4 separate regions of the Mus musculus genome follow, and all the other regions are reported to be linked to region 1. Evidence: microRNA targets listed by miRTarBase, many of them from high-throughput screens and not tested one by one. Region 1 holds a microRNA gene; each other region holds the end of a gene's coding sequence.
The links. Region 1 holds the annotated microRNA mmu-miR-466f-3p (CAUACACACACACAUACACAC, at 3,467-3,487, shown strand). A microRNA usually pairs through its seed, bases 2 to 8, with sites in the 3' UTR of a target mRNA and lowers its output. Matches are read on the target gene's strand: a 7mer-m8 pairs with bases 2 to 8, a 7mer-A1 pairs with bases 2 to 7 and ends in A, and an 8mer does both.

Region 1 (7,128 bases):
AGTTTTAGAGATGCTGCAGTACTGGGCCACCAAGGATATGCATGTGTGTATAGTTGTGTGCATATTCATTTTTCTATATGAATATGCATATACACGCATGCACACACACTCACAGGAATGGCCAGAGCTATGTCTCAGGTAGGAGGTGAATATTCTTGCCAGTGTCAGGAGGCTACAGAGTTCAAATTCATGCTTAACTTCATGAAGAGTTAGAGATCAGCATGAGATTCATGTGATGCCCACCAAGAAAGTGCATGTGTGCATAGTTGTGTGCATATTCACTTCTCTATGTGAATATGCATATGCACGCATGCACACACGAATGGCACTCATATATCCTTTTGAATGATATGTGACTCAGAGCTTTAGAGCTTATGCAGTACCAGGTCAGAGCTATGTCTCAGTTAGGAGGTGAAATCCCTTGCCAGAGTCAGGAGGTCCTGGAGTTCAAATTCATGTTTAACTTCATGATGAGTTAGAGATCAGCATGCGATTCATGTGATGCCCACCAAAAATGTGCATGTGTGTATAGTTGTGTGCATATTCATTTCTCTATATGAATATGCATATACACACATGTACACACATGTACACACCCACACCCACCCACCCACACACACCACTTAGAGTAATGGCATCATATATCCTTTTGAATAATATGTGACTCAGAGCTTTAGAGCTTATGCAGTACTGGGCCAGTGTGTTGTTTCACTCGTTAGCTGAATACTTTTGCCACAGTCAGTATGTTTCAGAGTTCAAATTCATGGTTAAATTCATGATGAGTTAGAGATCAGCCTGGGATTCATGTCATGCCCCCCATGTATGTGCATGTGTTTATACTTGTGTGTGCATGTACATGTGTGCATATCAATATATGTACACATACACATACAGACGCACACACATACATGCAGGAATGTCACTTGTCAATCCATTTGAATGATATGTGACGTAGAGCTTTGGAGATTATGTAGTATTGAGTGAGGGTGAGGCTTCAAATACCAGGCTAAAATCCTTGCCAGAGTCAGGAGGATCAGGAGTTGAAATTCATGCTTAACTTCATCAAGAGTTAGGGATCAGCCTGTATCATGTGATGCAGCTTATGTATATACGTGTGTGTTCATGTGCATGTGTGTATAATATAAATATAAATATACATACACACTAACATAGACATGCACGCGTGGAAAAACACACATGAATGGCACTTATCAATCCATTTGTATGATATGTAAATTAGATCTTTCAATACTATGTAATACTGGGCCAGTGAGACATCTCACTCACTAAGTAAAAACGCTTGCCAGAGTCAGGAGAATAAAGAGTTCAAATTCATAATTAACTTCATGAAGATTTAGAAATCATCCTGGGATTTATGTGATGGCCCCTATGTATGTGCCTGTGTGTGTTCTTGTGTGTGCATGTGCATGTGTGTATATGAATATACATATACATACACACATACACACGCACGTACACACACACAAACACACACATACAGGAATGGCACTTATCAATCCATTTGAATGGTATGTGACTTAGAGTTTTAGAGATTATGCAATAGGGGACAGTGAATGTTCTCACTCACCAGGTGTAAACGATTGACAGAGTCAGGAGGATCAGAAGTTCAAATTCATGCTTACCTTCAGTTAGAGATCATCCTGGTATTCATATGTATGTGCATGTGTGTTTACGTGTGTGTGCATGTGCATGTGTGTATATGAATATACATACACATACACACACACATACACACACATGCAACACACACATATGAATGACACTCACTGATCACTTTTAATGATATGTGACTTATAGTTTTAGAGATTATACAGTACTGGGCCAGTGAATGGTCTCACTCAGAAGGTGAAAATGCTTGCCAGAATCAGGAGAATCAGGAATTCAAATTCATGCTCAACTTCCTGAGAATTTAGAGATTAGTCTGTGATTCATGTGATGCCCCCCATGTATGTGCCTGTGTGTATAGTTGTGTGTGCATGTGCATGTGTGTATATGAATATACATATACATACACACACACGTATAAACGCAAGCACAAACACACACAGAGGAATGGCACTCGTTGATCCATTTGAATGATATGTGACTTAGAGCTTTAGAGATTATGTAGTATTGGGCCACTGAAACTTTTCATTCACCAGGGAAGGCTTGCCAGAGCATCAGTATCCAGAGTTCAAAATCATGCTTAACTTCATAATGAGTTAAAGATCAGCCTGGGATTCATGGGCTGTACCCTATATATGGGCAGGTGTGTGTCTTGTGTGTGCATGTTCATTTGTGTATATGAATATGAATATACACACACTTACACACTCATGCACACACACACACATCCATTTGAATGATATGTGTCTTAGAGCTTGAGAGTTTAGGCAGGACAGTGCCAGGGAGAGATCTCACTCACCAGGTAACAATGTTTGCCATACTCAGGAGGATTAGGAGATGAAATTCATGCTTAATTTCATGATGAGTTAGACATCAGCCTAGAATTCATGGGATGTCCCCCATGAATGTATGTGCATGTGTATATAGTTTTGTGTGCATGTGCATGTGTGTCTATTAATGTACATATACATACACACAAACATATACACGCATGCGCAGATACAGACACAGAAATGGCTTTCATCGATCCATTTGTATAATATGTAAATTTACTGGGCCAGTGAGACATCTCACTCACCAGGCAAAAACATTTCTCACAGTCAGGAGAATCAGGAGTTCAAATTCATAATAACTTCATGATGAGTTAGAGATCAGCCTTGTGTTAATGTGATGACCCCTATGTATGTGCATGTGTGTATATTTATGTGTGCATGAAAATGTATGTATATATGAATATACATATACATACATACCCACACAAACATGCACACACACACAAACACACCCACAATTGCCACTTACCAATCCATGTGAATGATATGCAACCTAGAGGTTAGAGATTGAGTATTCCTTTGCCCAAAAGAGCTCTCTCTCTCTCACCAGGTGAAAATGCTTGCAGAGTAAGGAAGAACAGCAGTAAAAATTTATGCTTAATTTCATGATGAGTTAGAGATCAGCCCGGGATTTGTGTGTTGCTTGCTCTATATGTGTGTATACTTGTGTGTGCATGTATATGTGTGTATATGAATATACATATACATACACACCCATATACACACGCATGCATGCACACACACAAATACATATACACAGGAATGGCACTCATCGATCCATTTGAATGATATGTGACTTAGAGTCTTATAGATTATGCAGTAGTGTGTCAATGAACGGTCTCACTCACCAGGTGAAAATGGTTGACAGAGTCAGGAGGATCAGGAGTTCAAATTCATGATTAACTTCAGTTAGAGATCATCCTGGCATTCATGTGATGCCACCCATGTATGTGAATGTGTGTTTACGTGTGTGTGCATGTGCATGTGTGTATATGAATATATGTATACATACACACACACATACACACTCATGTAACACACACACACACACACACACGAATGGCACTCATTTATCCATTTGAATGATATGTGACGTAGAACTATAGAGATTATGTAGTACTGGGCCAGTGAGTGCTCTCACTTTCTAGTTGAAAATGCTTGCCAGAATCAGGAGAATCAGGAGTTCAAATTCATGCTTACATTCATGAGGATTTAGAGATCAAACTGTGAATCATGTTTTGCCCCCCATGTTTGTGCATGTGCGTATAGTTGTGTGTGCATGTATATGTGTGTATATGAATATACATATACATACACACCCATATATACACGCATTCATATGAACACATCAACACACACGCAGGAATGGTATTCATCGATTTATTTTATTGATATGTGATTTAGAGCTTTAGAAATTATGTAGTACTGGGCCAATGAAACTTTTTACTCACCAGATATAAACGATTGGTATAGTCAGAAAGATCTGGAGTTCAAATTCATGCTTAACTTCATAATGAGTTAGAGATCAGCCTGGTATTCCTGGGATGTACCCCGTGTATGTGCATGGGTGTATAGTTTTGTGTGCATTTGCCTGTTTGTATATGAATATACATATCCATACATACAATCATATACAGGCACACAAAGACACACAGACATGAATGGCACTCAGTGATTCATTTGAATGATATGTCACCTCAAGTTTTGGAGGTTATGCAGTACTTGGCCTGAGAGGGGTCTCAGTCAGCAGGTGATAATGTTTACCAGAGTCAGTAGGCCCAGGGCCTGGCAAACGCAGAAGTGGATGCTCACAGTCAGCTATTGGATGGATCACAGAGCCCACATTGGAGGAGCTAGAGAAAGTACCCAAGGAGCTGAGGGGATCTGCAACCCTATAGGTGGAACAACAATATGAACTAACCAGTACGCCCCGGAGCTTGTATCTCTAGCTGCATATGTATCAGAAGATGGCCTAGTCGGCCATCAGTGGAAAGAGAGGCCCATTGGTCGTGCAAACTTTATATGCCTCAGTACAGGGGAACGCCAGGTCCAAGAAGTGGGAGTGGGTGGGTAGGGGAGTTGGGGGGGGAAGGGTATGGGGGACTTTTGGGATAACACTGGAAATGTAAATGAAGAAAATACCTAATAATAAAAGAGTTCAATTTTATCCTTAACTTCACGATGAGTTAGAGAGGAGCCTGAGATTTTTGTGATGATCCCGTGATGTATGTGTGTATATTAATATACATATACATAAACTCATACATACACATACATGTGACACCCACATATGAATGGCACTCATCGATCCATTGGAATTATTTGTGACTTAGAGCTTTAGAGATTATGTAGTACTTGGCCACTGAAAGTTTTGATTCACCAGGTAAAAACCCTTGCCAGAGTCATCAGTATCTGGAGTTCAAATTCATGTTTAACTTCATGAAGAATTTGGGATCAGCCTGGATTCATGTGATGTCTCCCCTTGAATGTGCATATGTGTATACATAAGTGTGTTCATGTGTATATGTGTATATGAATATACATATACATACACACAAACATACATGCATGCATGGACACACACACACATGAATGGCACTCATTGATCCATTTGTATGATATATAATTTAGAGCTTTAAATATTATGTAGTACTGGGTCAGTAATAGTCTCACTCATAAGGTAAAAACACTTGCCAGAGTCAGGTGAAGAGAGAGTTCAAATACAAAATTTACTTCATGAAGAGATAGAAATCAGACTGGGATGTTTCTTATGTATGTGCATGTGTGCATATATGTATGTGTGCATGTTAATATATGCATATAAATATACACATATAAACTAACCAACACAACATGCACACACACAGAGACACACACAAATACACACACACACACACAAACTCAAAATTGATACTCATCTATCCATTTGAATGATATGTAACTTAATGTTTTAGAGCTATGTATAAATGGGTCAAGGAGAAGTCTCACTCACTAGGTGAAACACTTGCCAGAGTCAGGAGGATCAGGAGTTCAAATTCATGCTTAATTTCACAACGATTTAGAGATCAGTATGCAATTGATGTGATGCACACCAAGAATGTGCATGTGTTAGAGTTGTGTGCATATTCACTTCTCTATATGAATATGCATATACACACATGCACACACAGTAATGCCACTCATATATCCTTTGAAATGATATGTGCCATAGAGCTTTAGCGCTTATGCGGTAGTGATCCAGAGCTATGTCTCAGTTAGGAGGTGAAACGCTTGCCAGAGTCTGGAGGATCTGGAGTTCAAATTCATGTTTAACTTCATGATGAGTTAGAGTTCATCATGCGATTCATGTGATGCCCAACAAGAATGTGCATGTGTGTATAGCTGTGTGCATATTCACTTCTCTATATGAATATGCACATACACGCAAGCACACACAGGAATGGCACTCATATATCCTTTTGAATGGTATGTGACTTAGAACTTTAGAGCTTATGCAGTACTGATCAAGAGCTATGTCTCAGTTAGGAGGTTAAGTACTCTTGCCAGAGTCAGGAGGATGAGGAGTTCAAATTCATATTAAATTCATGATGAGGTAGCAATCAGTCTGGGATTCATGTGATGTCCCCCGTTTATGTGCATGTGTGCAGAAGTGTATGCATGTACATGTGTTTATGTGAATATACATATACATACACACATATACACACACATGCAAACATACATGTAGGAATGGTACTCATCGATGCATTTTAATGATATGTGACTTAGACCTTTGGAGATTATGTATGACAGGGCCAGTGTCAATTCTCACACACCTGGTGAAAACCCTTGTTAGAGTCAGGAGGTATAGGAGTTGAAAATCATGCTTAACTTCATGAGGAGTAAGAGATCATCCTGGATTCATGTGATGCCCCCTATATATGTGCATGTGTGTATACTTGTGTGTGCATGTATATGTGTCTATATGAATATACATATACATACACACCCATATACACACGCATGCACGGAAACACAAAAACATAAACATAAACACAGGAATGGCACTCATTGATCCATTTGAATGATATGTGACTTAGAGTCTTATAGATTATGCAGTAGTGTGTCAATGAACGGTCTCACTCACCAGGTGAAAGTTGTTGACAGAGTCAGGAGGATCAGGAGTTCATATTCATGCTCAATTTCAGTTAGTGATCATCCAGACATTCATGTTATGCCCCTCATGTATGTGCATGTGTGTTTACGTGTGTGTGCATGTGCATGTGTGTATATGAATATATGTATACATACACACACACATACACACGCACGCAACACACACACACACACACACACACGACACTCATTTATTCATTTGAATGATATGTGACTTAGAGTTTTAGAGATTATGTAGTACTGGGCCAGTGAGTGCTCTCACTCACAAGGTGGAAATCTTGCCAGAGTCAGGAGGATCAGGAGTCGAAATTCATTCTCAACTTCATGTTGAGTCCGGGATCAGCTTCTGATTCATGTGATGCCCCCAGTGTATGTGCCTGTGTGTATATGTATGTGTGCATGTGCATGTGTGTATATGAGTATACATATACATACGCACATACCCATACAAGCATGCACACAAACCCAAAACTGCCACTCATCGATCTATTTGAATGATATGTGTCTTAGAGTC
Region 2 (7,128 bases), not on the chromosome of region 1:
CAATATTCATAAGGGAAATTCATCTGAAGTTCTCTTTCTTTGTTGCGTTTTTGTGTGGTTTAGTTATCAGAGTAATTGTGGCTTTGTAGAATGAATTTGGTAGAGTATCTTCTGTTTCTATTATATGGAATAGTTTGGGGAGAATTGGAATTAGGCCTTCTTTGAAGGTCTGATAGAATTTTGCACGAAACCCATCTGGTCCTGGGCTTTTTTTTTTTTTTTTTTTTTGTTAGGAGACTATTAATGACTGCTTCTATTTCTTTAGGGGAAATGGGACTGTTTAGATCGTTAATCTGATCCTGATTTAACTTTGGTACCTGGTATTTGTCTAGGAAGTTGTCCATTTCATCCAGGTTTTCCAGTTTTGTTGAGAATAGCCTTTTGTAGTAGGGTCTGAGATGTTTTGGATTTCCTCATGTTCCGTTGTTATGTCTCCCCTGTGCTCTCTAGTTAGTCTGGATAAGGATTTATTTATCTTGTTGATTTTCTCAAAAATCCAGTTCCTTGTTTGGTTGATTCTTTGTATAGTTGTTTTGTTCCTACTTGCTTGATTTTAGCCCTGAGTTTGATTATTTCCTGCAGTCTACTCCTTTTGGATAAATTTGCTTTCTTTTGTTCTAGAGCTTTTAGGTGTGCTATTAAGCTGCTAGTGTATTCTCTCTCTCTCTCTCTCTCTCTCTCTCTCTCTCTCTCTCTCTCTCTCTCTCTCTTTTGCAGCACTCAGAGCTATGAGTTTTCCTCTTAGGACTGCTTCCAATGTGTCTCATAAGTTTGGGTATGTTGTGGGTTCATTTTCATTAACCTCTAAAAAGTCTTTAATTTCTTTCCTTATTTTTTCCTTGACCAAGTTATCATTGAGTAGAGTGTTGTTCAGTTTCCATGTGAATATTGGCTTTTTATCATTTATGTTGTTATTGAAGATCAGCCTTAGTCCATAGTGATCAGATAGGATGCATGGGATAATTTCAATCTTCTTGTATTTGTTGAGGCCTGTTTTGTCACCAATTATATAGTCAATTTTGGAGAAGGTACCATGAGGTGCTGAGAAGAATGTATATCCTTTTCTTTTAGGATAAAATGTTCTGTAGATATCTATTAAATCCATTTGTTTCATAACTTCTATTAGTTTCCAGAATCTGTCCATTGATGGGAGTGGGGTATTGAAGTCTCCAACTATTGTGTTAATTGCAATGTGTGCTTTGAGCTTTACAATAATTTCCTTAATGAATGTGAATGGTGTTGTCTTTGGAACATAGATATTCAGAATTGAGAGTTCATCTTGGAAGATTTTACCTTTGCTGATTATGAAGTGCCCCTCCTTGTCTTTTTTTGATAATTTTGGGTTGGAAGTAGATTTTATTCGGTATTAGAATGGCTACTGCAGCTTGTTTCTTTGGACCAATTGCTTGGAAAATTGTTTTAGCATCTTTTACTCTGAGGCAGTATCTGTCTTTGTCCCTGAGGTGGGTCTCCTGTATCCAGCAATAAGTTGGGTCCTGTTTATGTAGCCATTCTGTTAGCCTGTGTCTTTTTAATGGGGAATTGAGTCCATTGATAGTAAGAGATATTAAGAAATAGTAATTGTTACTTCCTGTTATTTTTGTTGTTAGAGTTGGAATTCTGTTCTTGCGGCTATCTTCCTTTAGGTTTGTTGAAGGATTACTTTCTTGCTTTTTCTAGGGCAGCGTTTTCCTTATTGTGTTGGAGTTTTCTTTTTATTATCCTTTTTAGTGCTGGATTCCTGGAAAGATATTGTGTGAATTTGGTTTTGTCATGGATTACTTTGCTTTCTTCGTCTATTGTAATTGAGTGTATTGGTGGGTATAGTAGCTAACATTTGTGTTCTCTTAGGGTCTGTATAACATCTGTCCAGGATCTTTTGGCTTTCATAATCTCTGATGAGAAGTCTGGTGTAATTCTAATAGGTCTTCCTTTATATGTTACTTGACCTTTTTTCCCTTTCTGCTTTTAATATTCTATCTTTATTTAGTGTTTTGTTGTTCTGATTATTATGTGTTGGGATGAATTTCTTTTCTGGTCCAATCTATTTGTAGTTCTGTAGACTTCTTGTATGTTCATGGGAATCTCTTTCTTTAGGTTAGGGAAGTTTTTTTCTATAATTTTGTTGAAGATATTTACTGGTCCTTTAGGTTGAAAGTCTTGATTCTCATCTATACCTATTATACTTAGTTTTGGTCTTCTTATTGTGTCTTGGATTTCCTGGATGTTTTGGGTTAGGATCTTTTTGGATTTTTGCATTTTCTTTGATTCTCTCTTCCATCTCTGGTATTCTGTTGCTGATGCTCACATTCATGGTTTCTGATTTCTTTCCTAGGATTTCTATCTCCAGAATTGTCTCCCTTTGGGTTTTCTTTATTTTTTTCTATTTCCATTTTTAGATCTTGGATGGTTTTATTCAATTCCATCACCTGATTGGTTATGTTTTTCTATAAGTCTTTAAGTCTATTGGTTTGTGTTTTCTCTTTAAGGCCTTCTACCTGTTTAGTTGTGTTCCCCTGTATTCCTTTGAGTTATTAATGCCCTTCTTAAAATCCTCTGCCAGCATCATGAGATATGATTTTAAATCTGAATCTTGCTTTTCAGGTATGTTGGGGTATCCAGGACTTGCTGTGTGGTGGGAGTACTACTTTTTTTTGATGCTGGGTAATCTTGGTTTCTGTTAGTAAGATTCTTATGTTTGCCTTTCCCCATCTGATAATCTCTGGTGTTATATGTTCTAGCTGTCTCTGGCTGGAGCTTGTTCCTCCTGTGATTCTGTTAGCCTCTGTCAGCACTCCTGGGAGTACAACTCTCTCCTGAGTCCCAGTGGCCAGAACACTTTCTGTGGTCAAACCCTCCTTTTGCAGGGAAGGTGCACAGAGGTCTGGTTTTCAGATCTGCCCCCTAGCTGAAGATGAAGGCCCGAAGGGACCCTGTCCAGAATCTCTGTTGCTTCTGCGGCCAGCATGCTCTTCTGCTTGGATTGGTCTCTGAGAAACCCGGTAAAGGAGATGGCGCTCTCACCTGAGTCCCCTAGTCAGAGACCTCCCTGGAGGCCAACTTTCCTCTGGTGCCCAGAGGTCTGGGTCTCAGCTCTGCCTCCTGGCTGAGGATGAAGGCATGAAGGGACCCTGTCTGTTGCTTCTGTGGCCTGTGCGCTCCCCTGCGTGGACTGGTCTCTTAAAGACTCAGTATACAAGATGGCTGTCTTACCTTAGTTCCGCAGTCAGAACCTTCTCTGGAGGCAGACTCTCTTCAGTGTTTCTAAGATCCTGGGCATGCTAGGGCACCTATGGCATGGAGAGTCCTCTGGGGACAGTGGGACCATCTATACAGTTTGTGGCCAAGGTGGCCCAGGGCTGGTCCCTACTGGAATGAACCCCAAGTGCTGGTTGGTTAGGTTTCCTGTATTTTTGTACCTGCTGGCACAAGTCCCTCCCGGTTGTTTTGGAACAGATGTTGCATTCCACTCACCAGTGATCCCAAGATCCTGGGTATACTAGGGTGCCTATGGTGTGGACAGTCCTCTTGATATGGTGGGACCATCTGCCGAGTTCGCGCCCAAGGTGGCTCAGTGATGTCGTTATTTTTAATAGCTGCATATTAGTCCATTGTGTAAGTGAGCCACATTTTCTGTATCCATTCTTCAGTTGAGGGACATGTGGGTAAATAAGTCAAGATTTTAGAATTTTCAATTATTTTTGTTTTCATGTTTTAAACTACCTATTAACAGCACATGTTACTTCTAGATTGCATCCAAACTATCTCCCTTGCTATATACCCTACATCGTTCTCTAGGGTATAGTATGGTATGTATTCTTGATGCTCCCATCTACTTGCCTTCCTCAAACTGCCATATATAGCCAGGGTCACGCATCTAGTGCCTGGGCCTATTCTGGCCTCTCTTGACTGGGCTCTAAATGATGCCTAGGCTTTTGCAGGACCTTATCTACCCATCACCTAGTCCATAGGCCCCTCTGAAACCACATGTGACCTTTTCACCTAGCCAGATCTACCCTCACACTCTAGGCTTGGACCAGGAGGCAAATCTTATATATCAACCCACTCTCCTCTGTCCACCTGACATCATTCTATTCAAGTTAGATCTAACTTCTAATTCCAAGTTGCCTGTACACGTTCTCTTCTGTGCCAGTCTAATAGGTCTATATCAGACCTAGAACTAACAAAAGAAGTTCAAATGCTAAGATCTCATCAATGAACTATCAATAATATCAGGTTTTGTTGCATTGAATTTTCATTTTCATTTAATTCCAGGATTTTTTTTTTAAATTTTCTCCTTGACCCACTCATCATTCATTAATGAGCTGCTTAATCTCCATGTTACATCGTTATCAAAAATTCTATAGTTTTTTTCTTTTTGTTGTGTCTTTATATGACTTTGGTAATAGGATAATACTGTTTTCATAGAGTGAGTTCTAGAGAGTTTATTTCCTTTCTGTTTTATGGAATACAGTGAGAACCATTTACTCTCTCTGTTCTTTTACTATCTGATAGAATACTGCAGAGAATCTATCTTTTCTGTGTGGATAAAATCTTTTTTTCCTATTGTTTCTTTGAGCAATTCTTAAGAATAGGTCAGCTGATGGCAAAAGTTGAATTCCACAGTGATATCTTAGCATACATGAGTTCTTTCAGTTAGGTTTAATACTGCCAAAGAAGCCTTATGTTTGTGAAATTGTTTATTTCATTTCAGAAAGATAGTCTATCTAGGCATATTTATAATAGACTTTTTCTTTTAGTGCATGCTACTTAATTGATTATAGATGTCATGGATTTAGAACAGATACACAGATATTTGTTTTTTTGTTTTGCTTTTTTTTTTGTCTTTGTGTGGGTAAGGCAACATCCCCTCATGTCTATTTTAAGTAATTGAATTTTTTCATGAAATTTGACTGTGTTTATCATATGTGCGGACACCACTGGATTTACCCTAACTAGAGTCGCAAAGAGTTTTGAATCTTTAAGGTTTTAACTTCTACTAAAGTTAAAAGATTTTCAGCTTTCCCGTCTTTGAGTGGTCAGGCAACACTATAAATATGTATATATATAATTTTTTCCCTTTTGAAGCACAGTAGTGTGAATGTCGAATATTTTCTTGTTTGACTATTCAGTCTGCTGCAATTTTTTTAGTATGTTATTGTAATTTTCAGATGGAATAATTTGTATTGATCTTTCAGATTCCAATGCTGTGCTCCATATCTTGCATTCTAGTTAAGCCCATTCAGTAGATCTTTTCTTTTTCTTTATTCTATTTATGGTATTTGAAGATAGACACTTTATAATATTTGCATTTTCGTTATTTTTCTGTGAAAATGGTTCATAGTCAATGGCTGGCTTTCATAAAAATACTTGAGATTTCAGTTTATTTTGTAGGATCAAAACCTTGATTATAATAACTTATATTAACTTATTATGATTCTAAGTGAAATTGAATCATCTTTTAAAAACTATTTTTGGTAACAAATTTGAACAGGTTTAATTTTTTATTGTTAAATGAACAAAAGAAATGATGAAAAATTAAGTTTGTTAGACACTGACATTTCTAAAGTGTCAGTGACGTAACCCAAACTCAGAAAGACAAACACTGTATCTTATCTCCCATCTATGGTACTTAGCTTCAAATTTCAGAAGTGAGTTTATTACCTGGAACAACTACATTAAACTGGAAAGATCAAAGAGGCTATGGTGGGATGGAGAGGAGTACTAGAGAGGGAATATCAGTATGTGGGTGAAATGAAGAAAGAAATGGGAAAAATGGTTCTCCAATATTATGTTGTCAACCCTAAAAAGAATACAATAAAGAAAGCAATATATAAAGCAACAATAAAGACGGGCTACATTTATATATTTATTCATTTATTTATACATACACATAGCAATAATACATTATGCATGTGGAATTATAATTAATAAAAATTCATTTTATAAAGAGTAAAATGAGTCAGGGGACAATGGGTAGCAAGCAGTGGGTAGAGGGAAGGAGAAGTGGTGTAATTATATTTAATTAAACATAAAAATTTGAAAAGAAGTGACCCTTTAGATTTAATCACACATAAATATTATAAAACTTAAAGAACTTTTTAAGGATTGGATCAGTATGGACTGCCCCAGAAATAGATAGGAAGGATGAGAGCTTTTCATTGATTAGGCACAATTTGGTCTCTCAGGATACTGATGAAATCAGAAACCTTCTGTGCATCATTGTTCAAGCAGAAAAACAAACTATGCAAACCAAAAAGTTGAACTCTCCTTTTTGATTGCTGTACATATGGCTCTCCTGACCAGGCAGGGTAGTCTTCATTTTTCTTAAGGTCAGGATTAACCTATTTACCAAATAAAAGTCAGCCAGTTATTATTCACATTATTAATATTTATTGAGCTTCATTATTTAAACAATTTGAATGATATTTTGAAGAATATTATGAATATAAATCTTAAAGAAATACACGTGTTTCATGTATGTAGACTAGGGTACTACCAATTTGTTAGTTATCTTAAAACTAGACAGAACTATGCATATATTTTTGTAATATAGTTGATCCAAGATGAAATATATCATTCTAGGAGGAGACAGAATTGCTTCTTGACTATGGACATGGTTTTGACCAAGGGATATGGAAGAATCTATAATCAGTTCTCTTGTGAGGAGGCTTCCATGTTTTCCATGTCATCCCTGAGGTGCCATTTGTAGTTTACTACTCTTTTTTTTTTTTTTTTTTTTGGTTTTTGGTTTTGTTTTTGTTTTTTGAGACAGGGTCTCTCTGTGTAGCCCTGGCTGTCCTGGAACTCACTTTGTAGACCAGGCTGGCCTCGAACTCAGAAATCCGCCTGCCCCTGCCTCTGCCTCCCAAGTGCTGGGATTAAAGGTCTGCACCACCACCACCCGGCTAATTGACAATTTTGCTTTCCTCTATTTCAACAATATTCGTTTTCCATAATTTATGGACACAAAGCTACAGAACTGATGAGGATTGCACCTGGTGGGTTAAAATTCTTCTAATGTATGGATGACTGTGGTGAAATCGTCGGGATACTTAGACTGCACAGGAAAGGCACTGTCCATGCTATTTCTAGCAATCATTAATGCATCAGGAGAGCTCTGTGTTG
Region 3 (7,128 bases), not on the chromosome of region 1:
AAGAGACAGAAAACTTATTCAAGTTTAATATTCAAAATCTCAAATATGCTTCTTGTCATCTGATGAAACTATATTGTCTTATATGTCCCAAATTTCTCTGGCTGCTACAGAGTTCTCAGATTGTTGATTTACATGGGTGGCTTCATGTTTATTAGTAGTATGACTGACTTTCTAACAAAAGCCTTAAAGGGAAAGATTTTACTAGCTAGATTTCTCTTTTGTTGGGCGGAATGAATAGATCTAAATTCAGTAAGAGTAACTTTCACAACGGATGAAACTTTACATACTCATCTAAAAGAGAAAAACAATGAACTGTTCCCAAGAGAATGTATGTAGGCTTTTATATGGAGGTCGTAGGTCGTGCTCACTGTCTTCTTCAGTAGTATTCCATCTTCTTCTTTGAGATTGGGTTTTTCTACTGAACTTGAATCTCATTGATATTGCTAGGCCAGCTGGCCAGAAAGATCCAAAATTCCATCATCACTATGACCATCCCTAGATATCATGTGAACACTCAGATTCTAACTGAGGTCCACATGCTTGAATGGCAAGCACTTTCCCAACAGAACCACCACCACCCAGCCCCATGTTTTATTTTTCAGGGTACACTGAGTAAAGAACAGCTGTCATTAAGATATCTTCATACAAAAACATCATGTACTTTGACTATATTCCCTCTCAGATACCTTCCTCTTCTTCCTGCTTCGGCTAATGCCATCTCTTCCTAGTTTCCACTCGATAAATGTGTTTTAAAAAATAAGTCCAATGAGAACATAGAACAACAAAATCAAGGCATAGCTTCATTTGGGACAACTAAACTCCTATTTGAATTCAAATGTATAAAGTACAAAACAGTGCAATGTTACAGTGGGCTACTGACCATGAGCCTAAAGCCCTCCCACACTAGATGCAGCCTTCAGAGACTTTTGTTATCCAGTAGGCACGGAAGGCTTTGTATTTTGCTTTTAAAAACCTATGTTTCTTGTTAACTTTAACAAATCTTAGAAATTGAATTTTTTTCCTTTGGCATTGTCTTGAACAATGAGATGCATCAGAATGGATCTGTGTTCCTATGCAGTGCATGCTTGAGGGGCACGTGCTGTATCCTTCAGTTGTAGTCATATTTCTAAGTCCAAGAGGCACTTGTCATCTTCCTGACACTGTTCCTTCTGTCTTGTCAAGTGACTGTTGCCAATCACCATGACTCCTGCATCTGTGCTTCTAATAGCAGAACTGGGGGTGGGGGTGGGGTTCAGAGTGGGTAGTATCCAGTTCTCAGCATAGAGTGGAAAATTCAGGGTAGTGTTGTTGTTGCTTTATGAATTTTGCTAGTAAAAAGCAAAAGGTGACATCATCTGCTGCAATATGTCCAGAGTGGTCATATAAAACCCTGAAACCAAAACAAAATAGGGTTCTAGTCTCTACCCTGAAGTATCTTCCAGTCAGTAACTATGAGTGTACTGCTCTTTTCAGCAACTCAAGGGAACATGGCTCTCATGCTTTCTCTACTTTTCCAGTTGGACTGTGTGGCTCCATACCTCCACAAGCAAAGCTTAACACGGCCTTTCCCTGCCTGAACAATCTAATTTCTATTTAAGAATCCAATTCAAATTCGAATTTCTTATTCCCACATCTGGGTACACTAAATACATGTCTCTAAGTACAATTCCTTTTTCAAAGCTTTCTTGGTCTCAATTCTATATACTCAGGGAAGAGTCAAGATAAATAAAACCTAAACAGCTAATTTGGCAGTACCATTTTATATTAAGTTTTGGGGCTGAATATTACTTGTGTAATTGACAAGTGCATTCTGAAAGGTGTTAGCTGTCATAAAGATGTGTCCCTGCTTCTCTCCCTGGACAGATCTTAACATTAAAGACAGAGCTTTGAGATATTCTGTAGAGACCTTATGTTTATTTCAGTGGTTTAGAAATCCATCCATTACTTTCTTTTAGGATTTGATGCGGCAGGGTCTCCTTGGTATTTTCTATCTTCCAGGTTAGCATTTCAAATCACTGTGGAGGATGGAAGGGCTAAAATGTTATGTATCTATGTATCTATCACATTTCTATTGATCTTGGGACAATTTATATTCTAGAATATATATCTTACATATAAGATATATATATCTCGTACAGTAGATCCCAAGAAAGAACTTTTCCTTTTGACTCTGGGGATACTATTCTGAAACTCAGCAGACATTTGACTAGGCTAGTGCTGTGGAAAGTTGCAGATGTCATTTATTCCTCTGTCCTCCTTAAGCTGTAGGGAGACCCTATGAAATAGTAGATAAGTAGAGATTATTAGTCAAGAGTGAATAATGATAACCTATCTTTTCACTTGACCTAATATAGCAATAAATAAATCATACACAGATTCTACATGAAATCAGTCTTTCCTATAACACTGCCACAAACCTAGGAAGGCTGTAAAGTTTGTATGAAGTCTCTGGTAATATTTTATGAGTATATTCTGCTAACTACACTTAACTTGGGTATGTGACAGATTACTGACTATTTTGTTAAGAATGAATCACTGTCAAAGCTCATTGAAATTAAATACAAATGGGCAACTGTTAGGCCCTAAATATTTTTAGTTTAAGTATCAAGACCATGCCTGACTTCCAGTTGAATTTACAGGTACATTCTCCTGCATCTTATCATTCATGGTAGTTGAAGGTTCTGGGAACTGTCATTCTATTTTCTGGGAGTGAAACATATTTGATAAGGAACAGTTATTGGAGTCCAAATTTCAAAACTTGTGTCTGGAACCTGGAAGGGTCTCAACAGACAAATGTTTAATGAGCAACATTGGTGAGAAGCCAGTGTAGCCTGTCTATGTCCAGGCAAGGGTCTCCTTGTTTCCCTCTCAATACCGGAGATCAATTGGGTACACTGCCTTTATCTGAAGTCCTTTTGTTACAAGAAAAGGGTTGCATAGGTAGCTCCGGCTAGAACACTAACGCATTTTCAAAGTACTTGGTTAAAATGTGTACATTCCCAGTTGCTTATGTGCTTCTAACAGTATTGAGGGGCATAACTGTGTCTGTGTATCACCAGTTTCCAACCTCTTTCTAGAAAGGACATTCAGGAGAAAGGTTGTCAGATTCAACCTTATGACTTGATATTTCAAGAGAAACTGCTAGAGGGATACAGAAAGGATTACCTAGGAGATGCATGTTGCATGACAACATGGCTGATTAGAGGAACTTAACAGAAAAAAGGTTTATTTTGCTTCCTAAGGTTTTACTAAGGTGTGGTGGGGCTGAATATCATGGTAGGACATGTACCATGGAGCAAAGTTGCTTACCTCATGGCTGCTATAGAGTACAAGCAAAGTGACAGTCGGGGGACAGGGACAAGATATGCCCTTCCTGGGGCATGCTCTTAGTCATGCATGTCTTCCACTGAAAAACTATTAGTCTCTCTGTGTCTGTCAACATAATATATCTTCCTCAATTTCTCCCCACCTTAGTTTTGGACACAGCTTTTCAGAGAACCTAGAGCTTACCAATTCAGATAGTAACACTGACCAGTGAGCTTCAGGGATCCAACCAGGTCTTCATGCTTGCATGGCAGGTATTTTAATGGCTGTGTCATCTTCTTAGATCCCCAACTCTTAATTTCTACCATCTCTCAATGATGTTACCAGATTATGAATCTATTACTAGGTTAATGGATTAAGACATTCATGGTGACTCATTTCCTCATAGCCCATCAGTATGACACCAAGTCTATCACACACACACACACACACACACACACACACACACACACACACACACACACACACACACACACTTTGGAGACATTTCCAATTCAAAGTATTCCAGGGCTTATATTCCAGAACTCTACAAGGTACCTCTCCAGAAGGACATTCTTGGGAAGGACATGACCACACATGGGTCTACCAAGGGAGGTTTTCAAAACTATACAGTCTGAGTTAAGCCTCTCACGTTGTCTTCTGACAAACTGGCTACTGTAATACCCAAACAAAGCAAACATGGTATGTTTTATTTATTGATGTAGGATAAAAGTACTTCATTTGTTATTTTATTGAATGTTAGAGCCTATAAGGTTTACTGTATAGCTGTGAATAGCTGTATTTGCTGTTAGTTTGATGCAGCTCTATGAGGAGAAACAAATTCTTGAGGCGCAAATCAGAATCACATGCAGTGGTAATACAGCTATCATTGCCAGGTAAACAACCCCTTCATGAGTTTGTGAATTTTTAAATTTTTAGTCAGGTGTCTCTGCTACATTTGATCTATATACCAAAACTTGGATTAGGAGGCAGAGCACAGGCAGTGGTGTTTGGACTATGTGGGGCTTTCATGACCTTGTCAAGGTGTTTCTTCTTAGCAACCCTGACTTAGAATATTCTCTCTTTCACATGTTCCTGCTTGCCTTTCCACTTTCCATCCAAAAGAAGAAATAGCATTGCTCTAGGAGAGAACTCTCTCTGTTTCCCAGCTATCTGGAGATGAACTGCTGTACCATCCTGACCTGCTCATCAGCGTCTTTGCCACAGTCCTAGAGCAAGGAGGCCAAGGGACTGGGGACTGAAACCTTCATGATGAGAGCTAAAATAAATTCTTGCTCTGTTAAAGTGTTTTTTTCTTAGATATTTGGCAGAATGCAGCTAAGACAAATTATGACAAGAGGGAGAATAAAATAAAATAATGATAATGATTAATAATAATAATAATAATAATAATAATAGACACTAAACCCTTAGCTATTTCTTCCTTCACTGACCTGAACTATGTAATACAGTTTAGGGAACAAAAAATATACCATATTATAGCCTGGATGTCAATCATGCTTTCAGTAGGATTTTTGTGACATTCTCATATTGAGTCATAGAGAGATTATTTATTTGGGAATAAAGGCATGAAAATTTAGAAGAGAAAATGATGTTCAATCAGTAAATGTTACAATTATAAAAACTTTATTTCACTCTTACTCTCATTAAATCTTTATAAGCACCATGTCATAGACAGGCAATGTAGGAAGAGGACACCATAATGCTTCAGTTAATCACAAACTGCAAGCTGATGAGGATGTGACACTACAGCTATGTGGGGCACATGAATGAGACCACACATCTATTTGCACTGTCTATTGTAGAAACCCAAAGCTTGTGCTTGGAAACATCAAAAAGAACACTGCGCCGCTACGGTGGCAGTTTATACTCTGCTAAAACTTGATCCTGCAAGCAGCAATGTTGTCATCTGGTGATCCTGAACAGTGTCAGGCCATAGGCAGAGACTAACTCTTTAATGTTTAAACAATGCTTAAAGGTAATATTCCACATTGGGCAAGCTACCTGCAATGTCCTCTGCTGTGCAGATTTCTCATAGGCAACCATCAAGCCATCATTTACCTAATGAAACTGGGGGAGAACTACATTTTCAGTGAAATGTTTTAATTTGGTCCTCTATTCAAAGACAATTGCCAAGATGTTTTACATAAATTTAATTCACAGGCATGTACACAAGGGAACCACTACAGAAAACATTGCTTCCTGGTTTATGAATAAAAAGTTTATCCTTTACTTACACTAAACATACAAAAAATAATCTACAAAAAATTGTTTACCATTGATTTTTAGCTAACTCTCCTAAAACAACAACAACAACAAAAATGATTGTGTGGCGGTAGTATTTTATCCATCAAAAAAGTAATGTAAGTAACCAATAAATATAATGTGCTTCTTCCATATAGACATATGTACACTTCAGTCTTTGGCTTATGTTATTTTCTAAAAGGAACTTTAAATGATCCAGCCATCATTGCACATTAAAAGAAAATAAGCCATATATATGTATGTATGTATGTATATATACACACATATGTATATATGTATGTATGTATATATATATATATATATATATATATATATATATATATATATACACACACACACATTTATATAGAATCTGGTACACTTGGAACATATAAAATGAAATTTACCATGACTTTGCACAGCTTGTTTCCTTCCCCATTCTTAAGGTCCCACAGTTTTTATTTTAAAAAGAGAGGGAAATGCCACTTACAAAGTGCATGCAATGTGTGGTAGCTGCTCTACAGAAAGCAGGAGAGAAAAGGCTGTGTGGTCACTGGACAGACACAGACCACTTCTCATCCAAATCTGCCTCTGATTAAAGATAAAATTAGGTGGCATGAAATGTGGATGCTCTCATACAGTCACAGAAACTGATCAAGTCCTTTTTATTAAGATACACAACTTTATAAGAAAAATACATTTGCCTCTCCAATGTAAAAGCCTCCCACCCCGTACATTAAAATCTCTCGGTGCAGTAACAGGTACAACAGCTGCTGGCTCAACAGACGAATGGATTTCTGCTTGGATGCTCTGCAAATAGTCTCAGCGAACTATGAGGACTCCAGGTACTCTAACGCCACATCATAGCAAAAACGATACTGCTCCTGCATCATGTCAGAACAGAAGGGATGAAAGGAGTTAGCAAAAGGCTAATGGTGAGTAATAGCATCTGTGTGAGTTCTTGACACCCAATTTAGATTATTTAAAAGTCGTAAATTACTTATTTTGCATATAACAGGAACATCTGGCCATATATATTTTATTCTCAAGTCTAATGATCCCTTTTAAGAAAAAAAAGAAACAGTAAAAAGATGTTTTATCTTTGCCCTAAATTTCCTATCATTTAATATAGTGCCAAGGATTTTTATAGGATTAAAATAGTTAAGAATGTTTCCCAGCTTACAAAAAGGTAAAGAACCAGGCTGTGGTGGACCACACTTTAATCCCAGCAACCAGACAAGGTGTGTCTCTGAGTTCAAGGCCAGCATGGTCTACAGAGTGAGTTCTAGAACAGCCAGAGCTACACAGAGAAACCCTGTCTTGGCATGGGGGAGGGGAAGAGTACACGATTGACATAGTAATCGTCTCAGAAAAATAAAAAATCGGAGTTCTCAAGAGGATTTTCTGTTTTACATGTTGTATGTTACACATCCTGAGTCTTTTTATATCACGCAAAAATCTACCATGTGGATTATCTGGATTACTTGTTAGATTATTTCAATATCTTTCTGTTTTGTATTGCTGCTGGTGTGTGCCTGTGCTTTCCTCCATATTCCAAAT
Region 4 (7,128 bases), not on the chromosome of region 1:
TAAGTACACTGTAGCTGTCTTCAGACAATCCAGAAGAGGGAGTCAGATCTTGTTAAGGATGGTTGTGAGCCACCATGTGGTTGCTGGGATTTGAACTCAGGACCTCTGGAAGAGCTGTTAGTGTTCTTAACAGCTGAGACATCTCTCCAGCCCAGCATTTTTTTTTTTTTGGTTGTTTGGAAACAGGGTTTCTCTGTATAGCTCTGGCTGTCCTGGAATTCACTTTGTAGACCAGGCTGGCTCGAACTCAGAAACCCGCCTGCCACTGCCTCCCGAGTGCTGGTATTAAAGGCATGTGCCACCACGCCTGGCCAGCAATAAGGTTTTTAAAGTGCCCATTTTTCATTTTATTTTATTTATTTGACAAGTGCTACTAATTTGGAGTTAACTGACTTTTTTTTTTAAAAATAACTCCGCAAGATAAAATTCTGGTTTATTGTTGGACATAATTTCACACATACATCAAACAGGCCAAAAAAACCAAAAAAAACCAAAAACCAAAAAACAGCCGGGCAGTGGTGGTGCATGCTTTTAATCTGAGCACTTGAGAGATAGAGGCAGGTGGATCTCTGAGTTCAAGGCCAGCCTGGTCTACAGAGTGAGTTCCAGGACAGCCAGGGCTACAGAGCAACCCTGTCTTGAAAAACCAAAATAAAATAAAATAAACAGCAACTTCATAGACAAAAAAAAAAAAAAAAAAGGAAAAAACCTTTTTATCTTTGGCCTTTTAAAACCATCTTATACAAACCAACTACTTATAGTACAGCTAGGTACACACACAGAAAGTTACTGGAGGGCTGGAGAGATGGCTCAGTGGTTAAGAGCACGGACTGCTCTTGAGTTCAAAACCCAGCAACCACATGGTGGCTCACAACCATCCGTAATGAGATCTGACGCCCTCTTCTGGTGCATCTGAAGACAGCTACAGTGTACTTATAATAATAAATAAATCTTAAAAAAAAAGAAAAGAAAAGAAAAGAAAGTTACTGGAGTGCTCCGAATAAGATTGCTTGTTGTTGTTTTAACTAGGTTTTTTTTCTCCTTTGAGATTATAATGAACATGGTCACACCACAAGTAAAGTCCGAAGTAGGACAGAAAACGCTCTGAAGGCTTGTTTGATCACCCGTTATCGTTAAAAATAGCTGACCCCTAACAATATGTACCCAAATATAAAATGTAAATAAAAAATACCAACACATTTTCCTTTTAAAGTATTTTTAAGAAAAAAAAAAGCAGGGTCTGGGAAGTTCTGATTCTTTTTATTTCCCACGTTGCCAGTTCATGTTGTGGTTTTGGTGGGGGCGTGGAGAGCGCATGTCACCTGTGGGTGCCACTGCCTGCTGTGCTTCTCTGCTCTAAGGTGACCACGTGAACTGGTCGCAGTGTGTAAGGTTAGCTTTTCCTTTTGCTGTCTAGTCATCCTCCTTAGTCTTCTGCTTCTTGGCGTCGACATCATTATCCTCATCAGACTCAGCTACCCGCTTGCCCGTCGGAGCCTCAGCTTCCTCATCTTCATCCCATCCTCTTCCTCCCCGTCACCTTCCTCCTCCTCTCCTCCTCCTCCTCCCCTTCCTCCTCTTCTTCATCTACCTCGTTGTCTGCCTCCTGCTCACCATTTTCCTCATTTAGAGCGTTCCTATTGGCAGGTACCATTCTCTGCCTCCTCTACAACGCCCTCCTCCTTCAAGTCCTTGGTGGTGGTCTCAGAGCTGGTGTCCACTGCCGCGTCTGACTTGATGGGGCATGCTGGTGGTCTGATGCTGCGAGTAAGAAATTAGTCGAGTTCGAGGACTCTGGCGAGAAAGCTGCCGGAGTCCGCATTAGAGGAGTCGGTGGGCAGCGAAAGTGGCTGCATGACCTGGGAACAGCGCAAAGATGGCTTTTCAGAGCAGCCGTAGGGCGAGTTAAGTGACTTTTTGGCCTCAATTTCTATGTGATCCCACCAGTTTCTTATAGGTGCTCTAACAAATGAAGCAACCTGAAACACTACACATTTATTACCTTAGAAGTTTTATGGGTGCGTCTTACTTTCACCAGGAACATTCACGTTGTTCCTTGATATTTCTTGGCTCTTGATCTCCTTCAAACCCGGAAATGGTGAAGACAGAGCTAAGGGGGTGCTTGTGCGACACGTGTAAGGCCCTAGATTGGTCATTTGTACAAAACTTAAACAGAATAGCACACACTCCAGTGGTTAGACTTCATACATCCACTTAGAAAGACCCTTGTCATGACACTAGGCTCAACTGAATACTCCAGGGTAATTTTACCTCAAGGATAGACTACTGGCAACCCTAGCTTCACCTGCAATTTTAACTCCCTTTGCTATGGAGTCTAACATATATGCCTATATTGGAGTTGAGAGGACAAAATTAGCCAGAGCCAGGCTGACTCCATGACAGACTGCAAACTGGCAGTTTGGGAGACTCGGGCCCAAGTTTCTGTTTCCCAGAAATGAGAACCTGGATGCTGGAACCAGTGGTCAGCCAAACACAGCTGCATGTAGTTGATCTGAGAACACCTTGTTGTCATCTGGTCTGAAGTAAGAATAGGTAGCTAGAAAGCTGGGCACTCAGGAGGCAGAGGCAGGCGGATTTCTGAGTTGGAGGCCAGCCTGGTCTACAAAGTGAGTTCCAGGATAGCCAGGGCTATACAGAGAAACCGTCTCCAAAAACAAAACAAAACAAAACAAAACAAAACAAAACAAAACAAAACAAAACAAAACAAAAAGAACAGGTAGCTAGAGTGACTAATCAATCCCCCAGGGAGGTCTCCAGAGCCTGAGGAATTGTAGACTCAGTCAGAGCGCCCAGAGAGAGCTAACCCACCAAGGTAAAGGGGCACACACTCCTCCCTAGAGTTCTGTAGAGGCCAGTTCAGGCACACTGCTTTGGCTCCTGGCAGGTCGTACGTGTGCACTCACCAGAAGACACACACACACACACACACACACACACACACACACACACACACACACACACACACACACACCAGTTAATTTTAAAATGGCTTGGCTACCTCAAAGGCTGGGCACTCTTAAACCTTCCCCTGCTACCCCAGGCCCAATCTAAAGGTAGCTGGGCGTGGCGGCACACACCTTTAATCCTAGCATTTGGGAGGCAGGTGGATCTCCGAGTTCAAGGCCAGCCTGGTCTACAGAGTGAGTTCCAGGACAGCCAAGGCTACACAGAGAAACCCTGTCTGGAAAAAACAAAAAAACAAAAATCTAAAGGTTCCACCCTGTCTTCCTTTGCCTAGCCATTGGCCGCTGGCATCTTTATTGATCAATCAAAAAACAATTGGGGACAAGGACCTTCAGGATTTGGACACAAAGATTCCCAATTAAATCAAAACATTAGAACCAATCCCTAAGAGCATTCCCCTAACTGACAATAAAAGCCGGGCCTACAAGTCCACCAGGGATCTCCATGGGAGACCCCTGCATGTGGGAAATTCAGCTAACACTCTCTACTTTTGCATGCTATTTGAGGCTAGGGTATTATTTTTTCGGCAATTCTTGGACCCTAATAATTGTCTTTCTTCCTATCATAGATCTTTCTCTAGTTACTGCATTTACATGAGATTGGTCTATAATCTGTCAAGTTTTACTACTCACTCTATCAGGACTCCAAACTGACATAAGGAAAGTTGGTATTATTTTTGATTTTTCATAGCATTTGTATATCTAATCTCAAATACTGTAATTTTGAATTTATGTCCAGAATGACATCCAAAGACACTGTGCAAGGAAGGCTTAGATAATAAATCATTTTAAAGTACATCTACTCTCTAGCCTTTTTACAATTTTCATTCATGTGATTAAACCCAGGGCTTCAAGAATTCTGTGCTAGCTGGGCATGGTGGTGAACGCCTTTAATCCCAGCACTTGGGAGGCAGAGGCAGGCGGATTTCTGAGTTCGAGACCAGCCTGGTCTACAAAGTGAGTTCCAGGACAGTCAGGGCTACACAGAGAAACCCTGTCTTGGAAACAAAACAAAACAAAACAAGTAAGAGTCCATCAGCACTGACCAGTGACTCCGTCTACACATGAGGAGCGCGAGTATTTTTATTTCTTTAACTTAACCATGCAAAACGTGTTGACTGACTCATATTCGCATGTAACTCTTTTCTCACATCCGTCACTGAGGGTGAATCCAGAGGAAGGACTGTGATCATCACATGAAGCTGACCTACAAGAAGAGGGAAAAACAACAACCAACCAAGGGACTGATCAGATAATCTTAAAACTGACATCTCTGAATAATTCATCTTAAAGCATCAGAAAAAAAATCTAGAAAATATATCTATTAAATAATATCAGAGCCGGGCTTGGTGGCGCACACCTTTAATCCCAGCACTCGGGAGGCAGAGGCAGGCGGATTTCTGAGTTCGAGACCAGCCTGGTCTACAAAGTGAGTTCCAGGACAGCCAGGGCTACACAGAGAAACCCTGTCTCAAAAAAAAAAAAAAAAAAAACCAAAAAACAAACCCTCAGTACTTAATTTTAGATCCATAGCATAAGTACTGAAATGGGCAAAGTGGTATAAAAAAGCAGCAGAAGACTTGGACAATAAATTCTAAAGTGTTAAATTTCAGAGTTCTTAGATAAAGAAAATGTGTGTTGTGATTACTATGTTTATTATCTAGCAGATACAAGGTATTTTTATCAGTGTAACCCATGGAAACTGACATATTTTGTGTGTGGTGCATGTGCATGTCTGCATGTGTGCACAGCAACAGGAAGGCCCCAGGCGGATGCTGGGGGTGTCTATCAATGGCTTTTCCCCTTATTCATTGAGGCAGGGTTTCTTGATTGGCCCCAGAGCTCCCCAGTGGCTAATATGATTAGCCATCTTATCCTGGGAATCCTCTGTCCACTTCCAGAGTTTTGGAATTCCACGTGGATGCTATGCCTCCTGAGCATCTGAGCTCTGGTCCTCAGGCTTATGTGGCGTTGCTTTAACCACTGAGCTAACTCCTCAGTCTAGAAGATACGATTAATTGTAACGAGGGATTTCACTTTATCAAGAACTCCTTTCAAATAATTTTCAGAAATAAAGCATATACTTTAAGTGATATATATATGCTTTGTGTGACACACGCGTGCACAAACATACTCACAAATCTTCTCTCTTAAATCATTCATATTAGGTTTTACCTGAGCTCCTCAGTGGATGCTAGCTGTAGTGACAATCATAACATGGCCACGCAGAAAAAAAAATCCTGAATCCGCTGCCTCTATACAGTCATTTGTCCTACAAATACTAAACTCCTAAGATGGCTGGGCATTCAGGACAGTTTGAGAACGTGAACATTAATACAGAAGAAAGTCACGTTCAAGTATAAGAACAGCAAACAGACATTAGGAAGCACACGCAAATGATGCCAGCTTGTCCCAAGTGCTATGAAACAAAGCGTAAAGTACCAGTGAAGAAGATGTGACTCAATGTGGTGTGGTTACTGTTGATTTCCCTGCTGTCTTTGTTTGGGACTGGGTCTTGATGTGCAGACCAGGCTAGCCTCAGATTCAGCATCTCCTTGCCACAGTTTCTGCAGTACTCGCATTACAGGTTTGCATGGCCTCATCCAGTACTGGTGTCACCCTGCAGGCACACTCCTTAAATCTCAGCACTTCGGAGGCAGAGGCAGGTGGATCCTAGTCTATATAATGCGTTCAAGGCTATGCAGTGAGACTCAGTCTCTCTTTTGATGCAGGGTCTCTTTACTTAGCCCTGGATGTCCTAGAACTCACTACTTAAACCAGGATGGCCTCAGAGAGACCTGCCTCCCTCTAGCCCTCTAGTGCTAGAACTAAAAAAGGCATGTGTCCTTGGAGTGGGACCCTGCCTCATTCACAAACACACAGATAAACTTCCATAATCTATGTCCTCTATAACTGTACTTACTGTATTATTTCCAAAGTTTATTCCAATCCATTTCTTCTTTTATACTCCAAAACATCTTCATTGTGTGTTTGGATGAGCTACAAGATAATGGTTAAAATTAGAAATGTGAGCTTCCAGCAGCTTAAAGACCAAGAAACCAAGTAGAGATCCTTATGTTTCATGAGAGAAATTGGGTGGATTAAAACAACTAAAAAGGTAAGAAATTCAAATTCAAAAATTATTAGTGGAATAATTTGTTGGCCACAGCCTGACATTAAATTTGAGAATGATACAGTGGAAAGCATATGGAATTATAAGAAGTGACACTCTAGCTGTTGAGTGTGTTGTAGGCTGGCTGATAAGTATATGCTATACTTTTGTGTACCTCTGTGTGTGTGTGTGTGTGTGTGTGTGTGTGTGTATGCAATGTCTAAATACAGTATGCTGTCCTTCCAACCTTAGAAGCCTCACACTGTGATTAAATGACCAACCCTCACCTCTGTGTATGTTAATTAGAAGTCAGAGAGCAGCTACTTTCTTAGAACCACAGTCTGACAGACTGTGTAACTAGAACAATGACTAATGCAATGATAAGATTCTTGGGAATCAAAGACCTAATTTCAATCCTTAATGATCTCCGCAGCAATTAAGCCTTCCATCAGGAAAAACTTTCAAAAATGTAGATGAACTTGGAGCCGCAGAGATGGCTTGGCAGTTAAGAGCATGTACTGCTTGCAAAGGACCCAAGTTTGGTCCCCAGGACCAACAACAAGCAGCTCAGAAATGTCTGTAACTTCAGCTCCAGGGGACTCGGTGAGTACGGTACTCACATAAATCCACATGAAAACCGAGGCGCCCACGGACAGTCCAACTGCCAACCAGTTAGGTTTGGCATTGACTGGCTCCCGGACATAGAACTTCGACCGTGTTGAAGCTGAAAAAGGAAAGAGAATATGTGTTTTATTGATGTCTGCGAGGAATATCTAACATATACTAGTGATGTAATTTTTGAGATAGAGGTTCTTGTAGTGCGGGCTGGCCCTGAATTCCTGATTGCCTGTCTCCACTTCCACCGGGCTGGGATTCCAGGCGCGCTCCACTACGGCTTTGTTGTCATTTGTCCTCTATCTGTTCGTCCCCAATTTAAAGAGTCAAGGAAACATAGTTCAAAGAACCTAAGTAATTTGTTCGGGGACACCAGCAGAGACAGAAGGTCGTCCTTGGTACTCAGGGCGCCTTCAA

Region 2: the mRNA of Prl5a1 is a reported target of mmu-miR-466f-3p. Seed matches in the 3' UTR shown: 7mer-m8 at 5,888-5,894.
Region 3: miRTarBase lists Ptprk as a target of mmu-miR-466f-3p. Seed matches in the 3' UTR shown: 7mer-m8 at 6,242-6,248, 8mer at 5,914-5,921 and 8mer at 5,844-5,851.
Region 4: miRTarBase lists Ndufc1 as a target of mmu-miR-466f-3p. The part of its 3' UTR that is shown has no 7-base or 8-base seed match.

What each region holds. Positions count from the first base shown.
Region 1 is chr2:10,465,263-10,472,390 of GRCm38, forward strand. Mir466f-2 (microRNA 466f-2) reads left to right here and starts at 3,413; the gene lies at 3,413-3,506. All of the region lies in intron 10 of Sfmbt2 (Scm-like with four mbt domains 2), which reads left to right. Mir466m (microRNA 466m) reads left to right here and starts at 1,401; the gene lies at 1,401-1,484. Mir466f-1 (microRNA 466f-1) reads left to right here and starts at 1,682; the gene lies at 1,682-1,775. It also overlaps Mir669f, Mir669e, Mir669b, Mir669d, Mir669l and Mir669d-2, and 2 more genes.
Region 2 is chr13:28,150,333-28,157,460 of GRCm38, reverse strand. Prl5a1 (prolactin family 5, subfamily a, member 1) reads right to left here. Exons shown (of 5, transcript NM_023746.4): 5 at 5,866-6,344. The coding sequence ends at 6,159. Among named protein-coding and RNA genes, the nearest start is that of Prl5a1, 11 kb to the right of the region's middle.
Region 3 is chr10:28,595,126-28,602,253 of GRCm38, reverse strand. Ptprk (protein tyrosine phosphatase, receptor type, K) reads right to left here. Exons shown (of 32, transcript NM_008983.2): 32 at 4,857-6,452. The coding sequence ends at 6,399. Among named protein-coding and RNA genes, the nearest start is that of Themis, 70 kb to the left of the region's middle.
Region 4 is chr3:51,401,429-51,408,556 of GRCm38, forward strand. Ndufc1 (NADH:ubiquinone oxidoreductase subunit C1) reads right to left here. Exons shown (of 4, transcript NM_025523.1): 2 at 6,717-6,820; 3 at 5,908-5,984; 4 at 4,051-4,191. The coding sequence ends at 5,925. It also overlaps the pseudogene Gm9442. Among named protein-coding and RNA genes, the nearest start is that of Ndufc1, 4.0 kb to the right of the region's middle.